Ovis aries: one gene and its partner. The protein of the gene in region 2 binds, or shares a complex with, the protein of the main gene of each other region. Links are inferred from orthologs where the notes say so. Each region holds a gene or a part of one and is shown on either strand. Other genes may lie near its edges.

The links.
Region 1: the proteins of NXF1 (region 2) and NXT1 are in contact, whole or in part, in a crystal structure (PDB 4WYK), measured with the Homo sapiens proteins. The link is inferred for Ovis aries from reciprocal best matches to the Homo sapiens genes NXF1 and NXT1. Residues at the interface, in NP_006353.2 of Homo sapiens: Ala366, Pro367, Thr368, Thr369, Leu370, Pro371, Pro372, Cys373, Lys374, Gly375, Tyr377, His411, Gly413, Cys415, Cys416, Ser417, Leu418, Ser419, Ile420, Pro421, Phe422, Arg440, Asn441, Val442, Lys443, Lys444, Lys446, Pro448, Thr449, Arg451; in NP_037380.1 of Homo sapiens: Phe6, Lys7, Val10, Asp11, Cys14, Glu18, Thr44, Val46, Trp47, Asn48, Gly49, Asn50, Ala51, Phe61, Met64, Leu65, Pro66, Ile72, Ser73, Val74, Val75, Asp76, Cys77, Gln78, Pro79, Val80, His81, Glu83, Ala84, Thr85.

The regions. Positions count from the first base shown.
Region 1 is NC_056066.1:41,578,801-41,583,629, reverse strand, and holds NXT1 (NTF2-related export protein 1), read right to left. Parts: upstream 3,156-4,829; 5' UTR 2,851-3,155; intron 904-2,850; 5' UTR 865-903; coding exon 442-864; 3' UTR 255-441; downstream 1-254.
Region 2 is NC_056074.1:37,645,122-37,649,968, forward strand, and holds the start of NXF1 (nuclear RNA export factor 1), read right to left. Parts: upstream 3,191-4,847; 5' UTR 3,078-3,190; coding exon 3,050-3,077; intron 1-3,049.

The DNA.
Region 1 (4,829 bases), on a different chromosome or scaffold from region 2:
AGGGGGTTCTCTAAAGTGTTTTAATAGACAGCTAGGGGGCTTTTGTAAAATGCCAAAAACGCTCAGGCCCACCCTCTGAGATTCAGTAGTTCAACCAGGATGTGCGCCTGGTGATTTTCGAAGAGTCCCAAGGGTGTCCTCTGTGTGTGCGGCAGCCCTGGATCTCAGTCTTTGCAGTGCCTTCTGCTGGCCTTGCAGCTTTAACCCTCCTTCTCCTGGGCCCCTCTCCCCAGTATCGCCCAAACACATCCAGCAAGGGGAAAAGAAGCAACATTTTATTCATCAAAATTTCCAGAACCAGAGTCTCTCCTGGGCAAATAGAAAAATAGAGAATTTTACTACTTCAAAAAGGCAACTGTGACAAACAAGTGTATGCCCAGACAGGGGCCCCTCAGACTTGAGCGAGCCCAGGGTTCAGGCTTGGGGTGTCCCACCACCCCACTAGCAGGCCCAGTCCTGGAACCGGAAGCAGTCGCTGGCAATCTTCCACACTGTGTTGCTGGGTGAGGCCTGGGCCGTCAGGATGAAGTTCTGGTTGAAGTCTCGCTGTTTGTTGCCCTCAAACTTCACTGTCCCACAGATCACCACAAGGACCGTGGTCTGGCTCGGGGTGGCTTCGTCATGGACAGGCTGGCAGTCTACCACGTTGATCTGGAACTCACTGGAAGGCAGCATCTCAAAAAACTCACTCAGGGACTCTTGCCCGGAGACAGCGTTGCCGTTCCACACCAGGGTGGCTGTGCCCATGTACAGGCGGGACAGCAGCCGCCGCCGCTTGTCCATGGTGCTGTAGTACACGTTCACGAACTCCTCAGCTGCGCGGCACGCCTGGTCCACATAGGTCTTGAAGTCCACGGACGCCATCAGTGGCCTCGCCAAGGGAGGCCTTGGCCCAGGTGCCTCCTGTACCCGAGGGGGCGGAAGGTGGAAGAGACCTTGTGTGAATGCTGATGACCGTCACGCCCCACAAAGGACCAGTCCTCCGACTGAGGCGAAATTCTGGGCGCCCCCTGCTGCCGACGCCTGGTCCGGCTGGGCCCCAGTTTGCTCATTGGAGACAGGAACATCCCTACCTGTGCATGACTATGACTGCAGTGCAGGATGAAGGGAAGCAGGGGACACCGCACACTCAGTTAAAAAGCCTGAGACCCATACGGCCAGCAATGACAGCTTATTACTATGAATTTTAACAATGAATTTCTTAACAACTGACTGTGGGAGGCTGCTTTTTCCTGGAAGCATGGAACAGCTGTGACTGCCCTCGTGTGTCTGGTGCAGACACCACACTCTGGAGAAAGGAACAGTGGCCCAACGAAGGCTGATCCATCTATCATGAGCTCACCTACTGGGCCTGGGAAGGTGAAGAGAAGGCAGGTTCCGTAAGAGGGCAAGAGAACAAATGTCGTTGAGGACAGGACAGGACCAGTACTGGTGGCCACAGTTCTCACTATGGGCTCTATTTGAGGAGCAAGGCTGGAGCTGACTGGAATGAGTGACGACTCAAGAGCTCCAGGGAGCACAGGGGAGTCCTGTGAGCCAAGAAAGGACAGGCCAGACAGAAGAAATTCTGTGGGGTGAGGGGGTGGTGACAGCAAGGAAGAATTTTAGCTGTAGCCAAAATGAAACATTTCCTTAAAAAAAAAAAGAGTCCAAAAGCATAAGGAAAAATTATTTGCTTTTTTTCCCCAAGGTATACAATAACTATTGTAGTTGTATTCTTTTTTGCCTGATTAAAATATTTCACTACACAAAAATCCAACAGAAGACAACATTACTAAAATATTGGATGCATTTAGATTTACAAACTTAAGTATTTTTTTATTTCAACGTTGTGCATGCATGCTCCGTAGTGTTCCTTTGACTCTTTGCGACCGCATGGACTGTAGCCCGCCAGGCTCCTCTGTCCATGGGATTCTCCAGGCAAGAATACTGGAGTGGGTTGCCATTTCCTTCTCTAGGGGATCGTCCTGGCCCAGGGATGGAAGCCGCCTCTCTTATTTCCTGCACTGCAGGCGGATTCTTTATGGGGATGAGACATGGGGAGAGTTTAACTTAAAAAAAAAAAAAAATCAGCTTTTGAAAGAGAGAAAAGATCCCACGCAAGGTTAGGAGGGAGTCAGGGAGAGGAAGGTGGAGGAGGCCAGAGCCTCCAGGAGAGAACTGGCCAGGGGTAGGAGCGGGTAGGCGGGGAGAGCTCCAGCCTTGAAAAGAGCGCTGAGGGCCAGGCACCCACGCGGGTCCTGCCACCCCCTCGGGGCGGGGGTGGGGCCTCAAGTCCAGCCGCGCACACACTCACTCCAAACTATACTTCCCAGCGCTTCATATACACCCCGTCCTTCAATAGTCACCGCAAACTGATGAGGCGTTATGGTAACAACTTCGCAACGAGGAAAGAAAACCCAGGTGTGGACTAGGTCGAGGGTGGACACGGCCCTGATCTGTCCTCTACTAGAATACGCTGCCTGCCCGGACGGCGCGATTGTCTCACCGGCTCCTGCCTCTCTGGGTCCAGTCTGGGGGCGCAGGGTTCCAGGATGGCCAGTTTGTAACCTCCCCCTCCGGGCCCATCGCCCTCGCTGGACACCACCCCCTGCACCCAGCCGAGCCCCCATCTGCTGGCGTCCACGCCGATCACCGGCATCTCGGGCCGCCGCGGCTCAACCAGCTGCCAGCCTGGGGGTCCTTAGGGAGCGGTCGTTTCTGCGGGGCTGCAACCGCCCCAGACTCGCGGCGAGACCAAGTGGCATCCTCGCCACTCCGGGGCCACTGACGGGGGGGGGGGGGCACCTCCTACGTACGCGGGGGTCATCTACCAGACCCGGGAGCGCAGACCTGCGCAGGGGCACCTACCTGCACGGGAGTGACCGCCCTGCTCAGTGCGGGAGATGACCGCGTCAGCGAGGGGCTCAGTTGGGCGGGCAGGTGAGGGGAAAATCACCGCACGGGTCGGCGTGGGCGGCTCCGTTCACGCGGCTACGCGGAGCCCCCCGTGACCGTAGGCCAGGCCAGCCGAGGCTCCGCGGTCCTCTGCAGCCTGCCCAGGCGGGCCGGGGAAGAGCCGCCTCCGCCTCACCACTACCTCCCAGGACCTGCCGGGTCCAGCCAGCGCCTCTGCGGGTTCCCGCGCGCGCGGCCAGCCAGCAACGCGCAGACTCAAGCGCCCGGCCCCTTCCCGCCCCGTGACGGACAGCCGTTTCAGCCAGTGGGGCTGCCGACCGTAAGGCTAGCCCCGCCTAAGTGTGGCACGGGTAGGGCAGCTTCCGGGAAAGGCAAGTTCCCAGAAGACCGCTCGCTCGAGTCTTCATTGGTCTATAGACGTAGGCCCGAGGTTAGGTACGGCCTCTGATTGGACGAAGCCTCGCAGATCCCCTGCTCTGGGGCGGGGTTGGGCGGGGGCTCTGGGGCCGTCTCGCGGCTGCGCTGAAACCTCCTGGCACGGGTTAACTGACGCTGCCGCCTGTTCTGGGTGTGTTCCCCTTGGCAATGCCAGGGCGGTTCTTTGCCTGCTTTCCTAGGGGAACGCTTGCTCTCAGAGTTCAGGGCCAGTTTAGAAAGTGGATGGGCTCTTCAATATAGGCTACCACCCCCGCCATGAAAAATGTGGTTTATAAACAAATAAATTGCAGGTTGAGTAGAACGTTTGAATTGAACTAGCGTCTTTGGAACCTTATGCACAAGACAATGTCTTTACAAAGCCCAATCCAGTGAAATGGGAATTTAATCTACAAAACTCCGAATCCCAGCATCACTAGCATGAAAACGAGAGTTGACCTCCTGCATGCCCACTGGGTTGGATGTCGCTTTTAAGTTTCCGTATGTTTCCCATGTAAACCCGTTTCATTTCATTCTCATAACTTCAGGAAGGCATCATTATTCCTGATATAGACTAGGAGGTCGAGAGACAGAAATTAAGTGACAGTCTGGAGTCACAGAGCCTCTTCAGTCCTAGAAACACTGGTCGGGAGGATATTTAACCAGCCCTAGGTTCTGATGAAAACAAGAATTTAACCCTGAGAGGCAGCCCAGCCAGCAACAGGAAGATGGGAGGTCCGGAACTTTCAGATTAGTCTCTACCATCTAAACTGTGCCTGATCCACAGCAAGGGGTCGGTAAATACTGTTTGAATGAGCAGACAGGGTTCAAATCATTGCTCCACAACATTCTAGTAAGCTTCCAAGCAAGCCTGTTTTATACTTTCCGGTGCTGCTTGAGTTTAGAAAGTTAGACACACTGCTGGCTCTAAGGCAGCAATTCTAGGGTGGTGGGCTGCCTAATTAGGGCCGCTGAAGCTAGAGAAGGAGTTTGCCAGGGGATTTTGGAAAAGATGCTATTTCTCTTTTTCCTTCTGGACATGTGATGTGCGGTGGTGCTGCTCCAGCCATCTTGCTCTGCTGAGGTGGGCACCCTTGTACCATGAGGCAGACAAGAAAGAGGGGGAGAAAGCAGACTTTGATGACTGTTGGGAACCAAATCAACCCTGAAGTTTAGCCTTTCTAGTTTCAAGAGTCAGTATATTCCCTTTATTATCAGTACTGCTAAAAATTGGGCATAAACAAACACAGTGTTAGTTGTTCAGCCGTGTCTTACTCTTTGCAACCCCATGGACTGTAGCCCACCAGGTTCCTCTGTCCATGGAATTCTTCAGGCAAGAATACTGGAGTGGGTAGCCATTCCCTTCTCCAGGCGATTTTCCCAACCCAGGGATCGAATCTGGGTCTCCTGCATTGCAGGTGAATTCTTCAGCAACTAAGCTATCAGAGAAGCCTATAAAAAAACCTACTTGTAAGTTAATTAGTGTGGCTTCCTGCACTAGCAGAGTGATTCTGCAA
Region 2 (4,847 bases):
AAAGTGAAGCAGAAACTGGAACTAGAGAAAGGAGAAGCAGAATGTGGAAGTGAGTGTCTCAAGTGCAACTGGATACAACTCAGACTCCCGAGAGTCACCTGAGGTCTGCTTTTCTCACCCTCCCAAATCTACTTAACCCCACTCAAAAAAATCTTAACTTTTTATTTTACACTGGAGTATAGCTGATTAATAATGTGTTAGTTTCAGGTGTACAAGAAAGTGATTCAGTTTTACCTATACATGTATCTATTCTTTTTAAAATTCTTTTCCCAAATAGACTGTTAATGGAATATGAGCAGCACTCCTTGTGCTATACAGTAGGTCCTTGTTGGTTATTCATTGTGAATATAGCAGTGTGTACTCGTCCATCCCAAACTCCCAATCTGTCCCTTCCCTACCCACCTCTCCCTGGTAACCATAAGTTCACTCTCTAAGACTACCCCTACTCAAAATTTGATCACATCTTGAAAAGTCAATCACAATGATTACATCAGCTTTCAGTAAACAATACTTCTTTTGCCTATAAAGCACAAATGTCAGTTACAACTACGACCAATTGAAAGGCTTCTTTTAAGTCTTGTTCTCACCTCAAAACACTGAAATTCGAACTACCATATGATCCTGCAAATTCACTCCAATTATATATCCAGAAAAAAGAAAAAAAGTACTAATTTAAAAAGATGCATGCCTAAATGAGGAAGTGGGGATTAACATCTGCACACTACTATTATCTGAAACAGATAATCAACAAGGACCCACTGTATATAGCACAGGGAACTCTACCCAGTACTGTAATAACCTCCCTGAGAAAATAATCTGAAAAACAACAGATACATGTATAACTGAATCACTCTGCTGTAAATCAACTATACTCCAATATAAAGATTTTTCTTTAAAGCATCAAAACTAAGAAAAAGGGAAGAATACATATGAGCTTCACTTGTTTTCAGGTCAATTAAAAAAAAAAAGATACCTGCATCTCATTGTTCACAGCAACACTGTTTACAGAGGGAAAGATATGGAAGCAATCCAAATGAACATCAAGGGACTAATGGATAAAGATGTGGTATACACACACACACAACGGAATACTACTCAGCCATAAAAAAAGAATGAAATCTTGCCACTACAACAACATGAATGGACATGGAGGTTATTATACTTAGTAAAGTAAGTCGGAAAAAGACAAATACTGTCTGATATCACATATGTAAAAACTAAAACGAATATATTTAGCAAAACAGAAACAGACTCACAGATATAGATAACAAACTCCTGGTTATCAGTGGGAGAGGGAAAGCAGGAGGGGCAAGATAAGGTTATGGGATTAAGAGATACCAACTACTAATGCCACCCCACTCCAGTACTCTTGCCTGGAAAATCCCATGGACGGAGGAGCCTGGAAGGCTGCAGTCCATGGGGTCGCTGAAGGTTGGACACGACTGAGAGATTTCACTTTCCCTTTCATGCATTGGAGAAGGAAATGGCAACCCACTCCAGTGTTCTTGCCTGGAGAATCCCAGGGACGGGGGAGCCTGGTGGGCTGCCGTCTATGGGGTCGCACAGAGTTGGACACGACTGAAGCGACTTAGCAGCAGCAGCAGCAGCAGCAACTACTAAGTATAAAATGGATAGGCAACAATAATATATTATTGCACGGGGGGTGACAGCCATTATTTTGTAATAACTTTTAATGGGGTATAATCTATCATAATACTGAATCACTATGTTCCCTTTCATGTCATACCTGAAAACTAATATTATGTTGTAAATCAACCATATTAAAAAACTGCCACTCTGAAGTGAATGTTGAAGTGACCCAAGGGTAACTGGACACAACTCATTCTCCGAAAAGTCACCTGAAATCTGCTGTCTGCCCACCCACATCAACTTAACCCCAAGTGACCTCTTTCATATCCAGGTAAACCAATCATAATGATTACATTAACTTAATCAATACTCCTTTTGCCTACTGAGTACAAACATCAACTACAAGTATGATCAATCTAATGGTTTCTTTTATAAATTTTATTCTCAAACTCTGGAGTTCCTCTCAACTGTGGTGTGTAGAAATGGCTTCTGAAAAAGAGCCCTATGAAGTGAAGTGAAGTGAAGTCGCTCAGTCATGTCCGACTCTTTGCGACCCCATGGACTATAGCCTACCAGGCTTCTCCATCCATGGGATTTTCCAGGCAAGAATACTGGAGTGGGTTGCTATTTCCTTCTCCAGGGGATCTTCCCGACCCAGGAATCGAACCCGGGTTTCCTGCATTGCAGGCAGACACTTTACCCTCTGAGCCACCAGGGAAGCCCAGTACTCTGCAAACATTGAATCTCATGAAACGACCCTAGGGAAAAAATAGACGACTAGAAGGTGCAGTTAACATTTATCAATAAGTTTATCCGATGTCAGGCGCTCGACGCACACGATCTCGTTTTAATACAAACACACACACATGGAGACAAACTCAGGAGACAGGTACTGTTTCTATCCTCCTTCAGGGGATGGAAAATCAGGCCTGAGTGTTTAACTCACATATGATCGGCATGGCCAACAACCACTACTCTGGATCTAAACCCATTGTAGTGTTCTGGCTAAAACAGTGAGTTAAAGTGTAGGTCTAGAATATTAAAGCTAAAGCTGCGGACGGCGGGGGAGGGGGCAAGACCGACTGGACGCACGGTAGAAAATAGGGCACCGGCAGCCCAAGAACAGGGTACTGACTCACATTACTATAGCCGCCAAACTGAACTGACAGGCATCCACCACCCACAAAGTTCAAAGGAATCCAGTCACCTCACCGCCGAGCCACCCGCTCCGAGCCGCAGGTGCTCACAGCGCCAGGATTCTGGGGTCAACGAGCCGGGCACTCACCCTCGAGTTCAGCCAGGGCCCGGGCTGCCTCGCCCCGGGCCCGCGCCACTCACTGCCGTTCCCCGCGGACACCCGGCCCCTCGCGGCCTCCCGCCCCGGCGCTGCGGCCTAGGCCGGCGCTGCCCAGCGGGGCTCCAGATCGCCCCTCTCCCCGGCCCAAGGACCAGCACTGACCGTTGTATGACTTCCCCTCGTCCGCCATGGCACAGCTAGAAGCAGGGGCGGGCTGCGTCGCGGGCCGCCACTTAGCCAAACGTCCGAATGCCCAGGCGCTCTAGGTCGAAGTGCTCCTACGCCGGCTACCACCGCGTTTATAAGGAGACCGTGTCGCGCGCTGTCGACGTCCCACGATCATAGGCGGAGCCGCTGGGAGATGCGCGTGCGCATTCGACCAGCAGAGACACCGGGGCGGAGCTTGAGGCCGACGCTCCGCCCAGTAGTGATTAGTTTACTGATCCCCCTGATTAGTACTCGCACCTGCCCTCTGCTTTCATCGTCGGCCGGTAAGCAGCACCTCCAAGGTTGGCACTGAAGCAGAGATGGCCACTGCACCCCAGGGTTCAAAAAGAAAAAGGGAAGGAGGGCCACAAGAAGGGCTTCTGAGGAATGGGAGACCAGTGCCTTGGAGTGACCGCTTCAAGACCCCTAGGAGGATCCAGCCTGGGCTTAAGTCTCAGCTCAGCCCTTTGCCTTCTACAGATCTATGCCTTGCTTTCCTTGCCTATAAAATGAAATAGAAAACTAGAAGGTAAGCTCCAAGAGAGCAAGGAGTTGACTAATTCATGGCTTTTTTTTTTTTCTCCCCAGCACCTGGCTCAGTACCATACCTGGCATGTACCAGGAACTCAGCAAATATTATGAAATAAATTTCCAATCTATGCAACACCCCCCCCCCCAATAGTTGTGGAGTCAAATGAGAAAAACTGCATTTGTCAGGCTTTGATCATCTTCACAGATCACCCCACCCACCATCAATGTGCTGTGCTTAAACCCACATCGTGTGTCAACTAAAGTTAAGATGCAAGCAAGAGCACCCCCTGGACACAGGTCAAACGGAGAGCAAATACTAAAAGGCCAGGGCTAAGAAAGGCCAGGGCTCTCCTAGATAACTACCGCCCCCAACCCCAAGGTACTACAGCCAGCCCAGTGTGTGACTGTTGTCACTATAGCTTGAGCTTCCTTTGGGGTGTGTGAAATTGGGGTACTCCAGTGATCTCAGAATGATGTGGTTGTGGGTCCTGGTCAGGACTGACAAGCATATTGACCTTCCAGGGTAGGGTAGGTATTCCAGGCAGATCTCTACTTCATTCTCCTGTGACTGGTTTGGATTTGGTGAGGGGCTTCAAGAGGGGACCAAGAGCCTCAGCTGGAGCTGGGAACAAATTCTTCACCTTTCACTCCTGGCAGCAGGCAGAACTCCTGCTTCATCCAGCCCAAGGAAAACGGTAGGACTGGAAGATGCAGATGAAACAGGTCCAAATACTTCTGGAGATGGTCCTAGAAGTTACCACTAATCAGAGACCCACTCTGGGATCGTATACCCTGCTTTGAAGGGAATTTTCCATGATAATTAAGTACTGCTGCACTGGGTTAGGCCTGCTGGAAGCAGCTGTGTATACAGAGCCCAAAGCCTGGCCCCTCAGGGTCATCAGTCCAGCCCTTTCAGTTGTAATACTGGGCAGCAGGCTCCCTCCATTTCTGCCTAGGCCCTTCTTCGGCGCTCCCACCCAGAAATGACGACATGGCTAGTGAGGCTGACAGTCTTGCTGTAATTGGGAGAAAACGGGCTGCAGCACGTTTGGCAGATTGAGAGTCACCTGCAGCCAAAGTTGGGGTTGTGCAGGCCGCCGAGGGGCTCAGGGCCCCCTGCCTCATGTCGTGGAGAGGAAGAAGTCAAATTCTAACCCAGATGGGAAAGTTGGTCCCTGGGGCAGTTTCACTTCCTCTCCTTGCTCTCAGGAAGGTGGGGAAA